2 linked regions of the Callithrix jacchus genome follow. The protein of the gene in region 1 interacts with the protein of each later gene in a pairwise test. Links are inferred from orthologs where the notes say so. Each region holds a gene or a part of one and is shown in the gene's direction. Other genes may lie near its edges. The genes, in order: PRR22 and NELFA.

What was found.
Region 2: the proteins of PRR22 (region 1) and NELFA interact in a two-hybrid assay, tested with the Homo sapiens proteins (2 studies listed by BioGRID). The two-hybrid records come from large-scale screens. The link is inferred for Callithrix jacchus from reciprocal best matches to the Homo sapiens genes PRR22 and NELFA.

Annotation. Positions count from the first base shown.
Region 1 is NC_133523.1:5,474,467-5,478,447, reverse strand, and holds PRR22 (proline-rich protein 22), read left to right. Parts: upstream 1-1,679; 5' UTR 1,680-1,723; coding exon 1,724-1,853; intron 1,854-1,944; coding exon 1,945-2,007; intron 2,008-2,324; coding exon 2,325-3,346; 3' UTR 3,347-3,364; downstream 3,365-3,981. Other genes in the region: DUS3L (tRNA-dihydrouridine(47) synthase [NAD(P)(+)]-like), read left to right, coding at 640-828, 924-1,052, 1,144-1,216.
Region 2 is NC_133504.1:191,171,608-191,174,750, forward strand, and holds the end of NELFA (negative elongation factor A), read left to right. Parts: intron 1-404; coding exon 405-516; intron 517-1,149; coding exon 1,150-1,415; intron 1,416-1,517; coding exon 1,518-1,617; intron 1,618-1,714; coding exon 1,715-1,899; 3' UTR 1,900-2,510; downstream 2,511-3,143. UniProt on the Homo sapiens protein: Essential component of the NELF complex, a complex that negatively regulates the elongation of transcription by RNA polymerase II.

The DNA of each region.
Region 1 (3,981 bases):
GGGTTACCAAGATCCAGCTCCAGCTTCATGCACAGCAGCGGCGCCCCGAACCCGACGCGCCATCGCCCATGCCTGCTCTGTGGCGGGATGGTCCCGAGATGGGAGTGGGAGAGAGCGATGTCAGGAGTTGCGGCTGTTTTGGGGCGGAGGGGACTGGGAATTGCTGCTGCTGTGGGATCTGATCATTGTGGTTTGAAAGTCCTGGGCTTTGGGCGGGTTTGATGGCTCATGTCTGTAATCCCAGCACATTGGGAGGCTGAGCCAGGTGGATTACCCGAGATCAGGAGTTCAAGACCAGCCTTGCCAACATGGCGAAACCCTGTCTCTACTAAAAATACAAAAATTAGCCAGGGGTGGTGGTACAAGCCTGTAATCCCAACTACTTGGGAGGCTGAGGCAGGAGAGTCGCTTGAACCCAGGAGGCGGAGTTTGCGGTGAGCCAGGATTGCGCCACTGCACCTCAGCCTGGGCTACAAGAGCAGGACTCCATCTCAAAAACAAAAAATAGAAAAAGTCCTGGGCTTTGAAGGTTGTGTGCCACAGCTGGGAGGCATATTAGGCTTGCAGGTTTCGTGGTCTGGGCCACAGGATCCCAGGCAGGCTGGTGACTGCGACCACTGACTGTCACCCGCCCTGCAGGGGCGCCCTCCTCAAGCCGTGGCTGTTCACAGAGATCAAGGAGCAGCGGCACTGGGACATCTCGTCGTCCGAGCGCCTGGACATCCTGCGGGACTTCACCAACTACGGCCTGGAGCACTGGGGCTCGGACACGCAGGGCGTGGAGAAGACCCGGCGCTTCCTGCTCCAGTGGCTATCCTTCCTGTGCCGGTGGGCACCGGGGCTGGCCAGGGTGGGCACTGTGTGGGCCGTGGCTGGGGAGGGCTAGCTGGGTTGACTGGATCCTGCCACCCGCCCGCCCACAGGTACGTGCCCGTGGGGCTGCTGGAGCGGCTCCCACAGAGGATCAATGAACGGCCACCCTACTACCTGGGCCGAGACTACCTGGAGACGCTGATGGCCAGCCAGAAGGCAGATGACTGGATCCGCATCAGGTGCCCGGGGGCTGGAGTCGGGGCGCCTTGGGTCATGGGGGGCACTGCGCAGGCCTGGGGCCTGACTCTGCTTTCCCCCGCCCTCCCACAGCGAGATGCTCCTTGGGCCGGTGCCCCCCAACTTCACCTTCTTGCCGAAGCACAAGGCCAATGCCTACAAGTAGCATCAGGGGCTTCCCCGGGGTACCCTGAGGGAAGAAGAGGACAATAAATTTTATTCTTTTAAGATCGAGGCCTTTCTGTGACCCTGAAGCTGCCCATCCCCAGCCCCCACCTTCCCCAAACCTTTTGGCCGCCTCAGTGCTGCCCCCAGAGAGACCTTGACCCCCAAGAAGGTAGCAGGTGCAAAACCTGGGGGGCCTCAGCCTGCGTGGGTGTGGATCAGGGCAGCCTGCCTGGATGAGGCAGCCTCGAAGCTGTTAGAGGGGTGTTGCTGGAAGAGGCGGAAGGCCTGGCCCAGGGTCCTCCTGCCCCTGGTGATGACCGTCTCCGCCACCGTCTCCCCCCTGCCCACCCCCGACACCCAGAACCCCAACCAGTGAGCAGGCTGCAGGCTGGAATCCGCTGCCCAGAGCAACCAGGCAAACAGAACCCCGCCAGGTTCTCAGCCTGTGCTCTGGTTGGGCCACTTGTGCTCCCACTGCCCCCTGGACCAGGCCTCCCGCCACCCCATGCAGCACCCCAAATCCTTCTATGCTTCTGCAGTTCCCCAGGAAGGCTTCAGCCCCCAGAGTCTGGAGGGGGCTGAGGTGCTGGGCAGCCAGTCCGCTCCCACCTGCACCGAGCCTCCTCCCGCCATGGGTATAATGGGGTTGGTGTGGACGCCTGCTGGGGAGAGCTTGGGGGCCTACCCACCTCAGGGCCCCACCCACGCGGCCACCTTTGTCCACAGCCTCACTGAACCTCTATCACCCCCCAAACCCAGAGGAAGAGGTGTTTCCAGCCCCTCCAGCAGGTACCAGCCTCCCCCTGCGCCCTGACGAGGCTGGGAGTGGGTTTGGGTGTTGGGGCCCAGCTTGCCCTGCCCCACCCCTAGGTGGGGGCCCAATGACATGGCCTCTGCTCCCCATGCTTCACACAGGTCCCCCAGTGAGCCCCAAAGACAAACTGTCCCCATCACCCAGCCAGGGCCCCAACGTGGTATCTGTCTCCCATCCCCAAAGGGGCTCCCCAATGGCAAGGTTCTCGTGGCATCCCCCAGACAGGCCCCCAGGCTTGGGCTGGGCCCCTCAGGTGGCAGCTGCTCTCAGGGCACCCGCCTGCCACCCACAGGTTTCCAGATGGCCCCATGCGGGTGCTTTTTCGACCCCCGCATCTATCGGATCGAGTGGACCACTCCCGACCTGGGCCAGTCGGCCCTGTACAAGCCGGCAGCGAGTGGCAGGGGGCCAATGGGGTGCCCTTCCACCCCAGGCAGCTACCTCCCGGGGCGGCCCCCATACCCCCACTACCAGCCAGTACCCGGGGTGCCCCAGTTCCTCCTGCCCTACTTCCCACCTGAGGGCCCTGGGCCAGAGGCTCTGGGCTTTGCAGGGGACTCGGGGCCCACCGCCTTCATGGAGCTACCCCTGCTGCCACTCGAGGAAGGCATGGCCCCACCGCCAGCCCCACCCCCCAAGGAGAACAAGCTGCCCCCTGTACTCATCCCGCGGCCTGCAGAGTCCATGCTGCCCCTGGACACCTACAGCTGCCTCCAGGGCCACCCTGGCCACTTCCCTGGGCCTGAACCCCTGGACTTCCCCACCAAGGAGCCGCAAGGCAGTGGGGCCGGGCCCGGGGTGCTGCTGTACCCACCCAGCTCCAGTGAGCCCAAGGTGGCCAAGGCCAAGGAGGGGGCCCTGCTGGGGGCGGGCGAGGCCAAGGCACTCCCAGACAAGGTTCTGCTGGAGGACGCCATGAAGCTCTTTGACTGCCTGCCGGGCACCACCAAGCCCAACAGGACCCCGCGCAAGGTCCCCAGGCCGGCCCTGCCTGACGACGGTGGCAGGAACTCGGCCGACGACATCCGCTCGCTGTGTCTGCCTGAGGAGCTGCTGTCCTTCGACTACAGCGTGCCTGAGATCCTGGACACTGTGTCCAGTGTCGACCTCTTCAACTTCAAGGCGCTGGAGGAGGAGCAGCTGCCCCGCCAGGGGCCCCCTGTTGCCAATGCTGTGGCCCCCATTCTGTCCCGCAAGAGAAAGGCCTCAACAGCCAAGAAGGGAAAACCGGGAGGGAAGGCCAGCCAGCCCGCAGGCCCAGCCAGCGCCACTCCCCTGGGGCCCAGGCAGGACCTGGGAGCTGCCCCCCATTAAAGCGCATTTCACCTTTTAGGTCCACGTCCATGCAGTAGCCTTGGGGATGCGGAGGGGCCTGGAGGTGCACGCCTGGCCCCTCGCCCCGTCATCCCGAGGACTAGTGAGGCCTCCAGAGCCTAGCAGGGAGGCCCTGGAATTACAGGACACCCTAAACCCCTTGAGTCCCAGCCCTGGAAGATCATTCTCTGCTGGCGGAGGCAGGGCCCTCCTGAGCTGCCCCCCAGATTAACATGTTCTAAGGATTTTCACACCGTTGTTTGGTGGGGAAAAGCCAGACTGCCCCGAGAGGGCCAGGAACTTCCTTGGAGACAGCTGTCAAGGCAGTGCTGGAGAAGCAGCCTCCAGCTCCCCGCCCAGGTGCCTCCTGTCCCCAGGAAGCCACAGCCACTCCAGGGAGGGTGGGAAGGGCCAGGCTCTTGTTCAGACAGGTGGGTACAGGGGGCTTCACCGGATGGTCTGAGATCTGAGGGTGGGAGCAGATGCTGGCGTGTGGCAGGGGCGGGGATGGGGAAACTGCTCACGTGTGAAGGAGCGGGGTGCATGCAGCACCTGGGGAACCTGGAAACTTGCACCCAAGGTGGTGACATGAGACAGCACCCAGAACCCAGGAGAGGGCCAGTCACACTGCAGGG
Region 2 (3,143 bases), on another chromosome or scaffold:
GGTGGCGGCAGGCGCCAGGCTGCAGTGGGTTGTCTGAGGCCAGGGCCTGGAGGAAGCCACAGCACGGGTCACTTCTGGGTAGTGAGCTCCTTCCCGTCGCATCGCTGCATGTTCCGGTTCCTTAACATGAATTTCTTTTATCAATGCTTTTGTGGTAAGAAAAAGCACTGCTCTTTCCTTCAGTCCCCAGAGATGGGCAGTTTGGGCTCCCCAACCCCTCCCGTCTCCTACCCGGGAGCCACTCAGTCCCAGACTCTGCTGGGGCGCCAGGGGTCCCATTGCTCAGCCCAGGGAGCCCGGGAGAGTGGCCCCCGCCGTCCTGCTCCAGCCAGAGCCTGTGGGCCGTGAGGGGCACGCGCTGGAAGCAGGGCCTCTTCTGGGAGGGACCCTAAACTGTCTTCCAGAAACTCGGGTCCCTGAACAATGAGCCTGCCCTGCCCTCCACAAGCTACCTGCCCTCCACGCCCAGCGTGGTTCCCGCCTCCTCCTACATCCCCAGCTCAGAGACGCCCCCAGGTGAGTCTGCTGGCCCCAGCCTGAAACCAGCCAAGCTGCCACCCCCCAGGCGCCGCCAGGACTGCAGTTCTCACTGCTGCATCTCTGTTGTCCCCCTTCTGCCTCGGCCAGTGCGGGGGGCAGGTGCCCTGCTAGTCAGCTCAAGTTCCAAGACCTAAACCAGCTGTTTTGCCCCTCTGCCTGTCCTGGGCACAGGCAGCTGCCCCAGGGGATATGGCAGGAAGGGGATTGGGCTCGCAAGGAGTCTTCTGCCAGGTGACCTAGCTCTTGTTGCTGGGTAGTGGGGAGGGGAGCCAAGGGCCATCCCCTCCCAGATGGAAGGCACTGCCAGGCTCACGGCACCTCAGGCCAGGCGTTGGGCCTGCGGACACAGCCTTCCTCTCCCCATCAGTGCCTCCGGTATGGGGGACCCACCACAGGCCAGCAGCTGGCCAGAGTCCAGACATCTTATCTGCGGGTCTGGAAAGACCTGAGACTACTGGCCTTGCTCCTCCAGCTGGGGCCACCGGGAGTTCTCATTAGAGGGTAGCAGGACAGAGAAGGGGAGCTGAGCCTGTCACCTCCAGGAGCACTAGAGTCTGGGGACGGGGGGCGGGGGTCCAGCTCCCTCACCAGACCCTGGTCTGCCTGCAGCCCCATCTTCCCGGGAAGCCAGCCGCCCACCAGAGGAACCCAGTGCCCCGAGCCCCACGCTGCCGGCACAGTTCAAGCAGCGGGCATCCATGTACAACAGTGGCCTGAGCCCTGCCACACCCACGCCTGCAGCCCCCACCTCACCTCTGACGCCCACCACACCCCCGGCTGTCGCCCCTACCACTCAGACACCCCCGGTGGCCATGGTGGCCCCACAGACCCAGCCTCCTGCCCAGCAACAGCCTAAGAAGAACCTGTCCCTCACGGTAGGTATGCCCTGGGGTGGGGGTGCCATAGTGCCTGCAGAGGGGGAGGCAGGAGGTGGTCCTGGCGGAGCCCCGGCACCCACACCCCTCTGCCCGCTGTAGCGAGAGCAGATGTTCGCCGCCCAGGAGATGTTCAAGACAGCCAACAAAGTCACGCGGCCCGAGAAAGCCCTCATCCTGGGCTTCATGGCCGGCTCCCGAGGTGTGTGGATGCGGCAGGGGCTGGGGTGCACCGGGCCGGGTGGGGGGGTGGGCGCTTTGGCCCCAGACACCCACCCAGCAGCCCCTGCCCTCTGCAGAGAACCCGTGCCAGGAGCAGGGGGACGTGATCCAGATCAAGCTGAGCGAGCACACGGAGGACCTGCCCAAGGCGGATGGCCAGGGCAGCACCACCATGCTGGTGGACACGGTGTTCGAGATGAACTATGCCACGGGCCAGTGGACGCGCTTCAAGAAGTACAAGCCCATGACCAACGTGTCCTAGGCCGCCTGCCTCATGGCAGGCCCTCAGCCGGGGGCTCCGAGGGACGACAGCTTTGCCGGCATAAGTGCCCGGCCGGCAGACAGCTGGTACACGAGGCCCCCCAGCTGCCCTGGCCACTGCCCTGCTGCTGACCCGGCCTGTTTCAATGCTGGATGCGTTTCTCCGGGGTGTTTTGGGCTTCTTTTAAAATTTAATATGAGTTCCTTTTTGCGTGATTTAAGACACTTTTTGGACTCAGCATTATATTTTTGAATGTAGTAAGTTAACCAAAAAAGTTACAACTTCCTAATTTTACTGACAGCTCTGTTTTAAAAGTCTTTTCCTAAAGAAATCCCACTGACAGCGAGTAAGGACCTTCCCTCGCGGGGGCAGTGCCCTCCCACTCCCAAGGTTGAGGGGACCAAGGTGGCATCGGGGATGCTGGGGGTGGGCAGGGACACCCAGCCACACCAGAGTGTGGGAGACGGTGGCCTCATCCCCTGCCAGTGCCTGCCGGGGAATTTTGTATTCATCTTTTGTACAGTTGTGGACATTTAAGACAGACGGTCTTTGGGTACTTATTTTCATTGTAAAATTATCTGAACAATTAAAGTTTAGCTTTTCTAAAGAAAGCCACCATAGCTGTGTTTCGGGCTAGCTTGTCCTCCCTGCACTGGGGACCCAGTCCCTCCCTGAGCGGCCATCGGGACGGGGTGGTCCCAGGCTGGCAGCTCTCTAGCACACCGTGGCTCACAGGGAGGGGAACAGGTAGGATCAGCCCTCGGGGTACTCCCTGGACCTGGCTGCGGGCCTGGGGACCACCTGGCTCAGGGCTGAGGGACAGCAGCGGTTCTTTCTCCCCCAGACCGTTTCACCCCTGCTACTTCCGGTATTTGTTCTGTGTCCCAAGGTGGCACTGCCTCTCCCCAGCAGGACAAAGGCAAAATGGCACGGTCAGGGCAGGGAGCCCCACCCCTCCGGAGTGCAAGGCATCAGCGCCATCAGCGCCTTGCAATGCTGAGCAACTGGAAAAAAAACACAATCCCATATAAAATAAGTTAAGAAAAAAAGCCTTTAAAATGTTTTTAATACAAAAATACTCATACACTATTTTCCAAACACAGCTTTCCACTTTAAATGCTATTTTCCCGAACCGGCAAGTCTCAAGTCTCTAGTTGAGTATATCCCCCCAAAAGTGAATTTCAAGTTTTTAAGTCTAACTATCAAACCTGGTGACAGCACCCAGTATTCCTAAAGGGGATCCG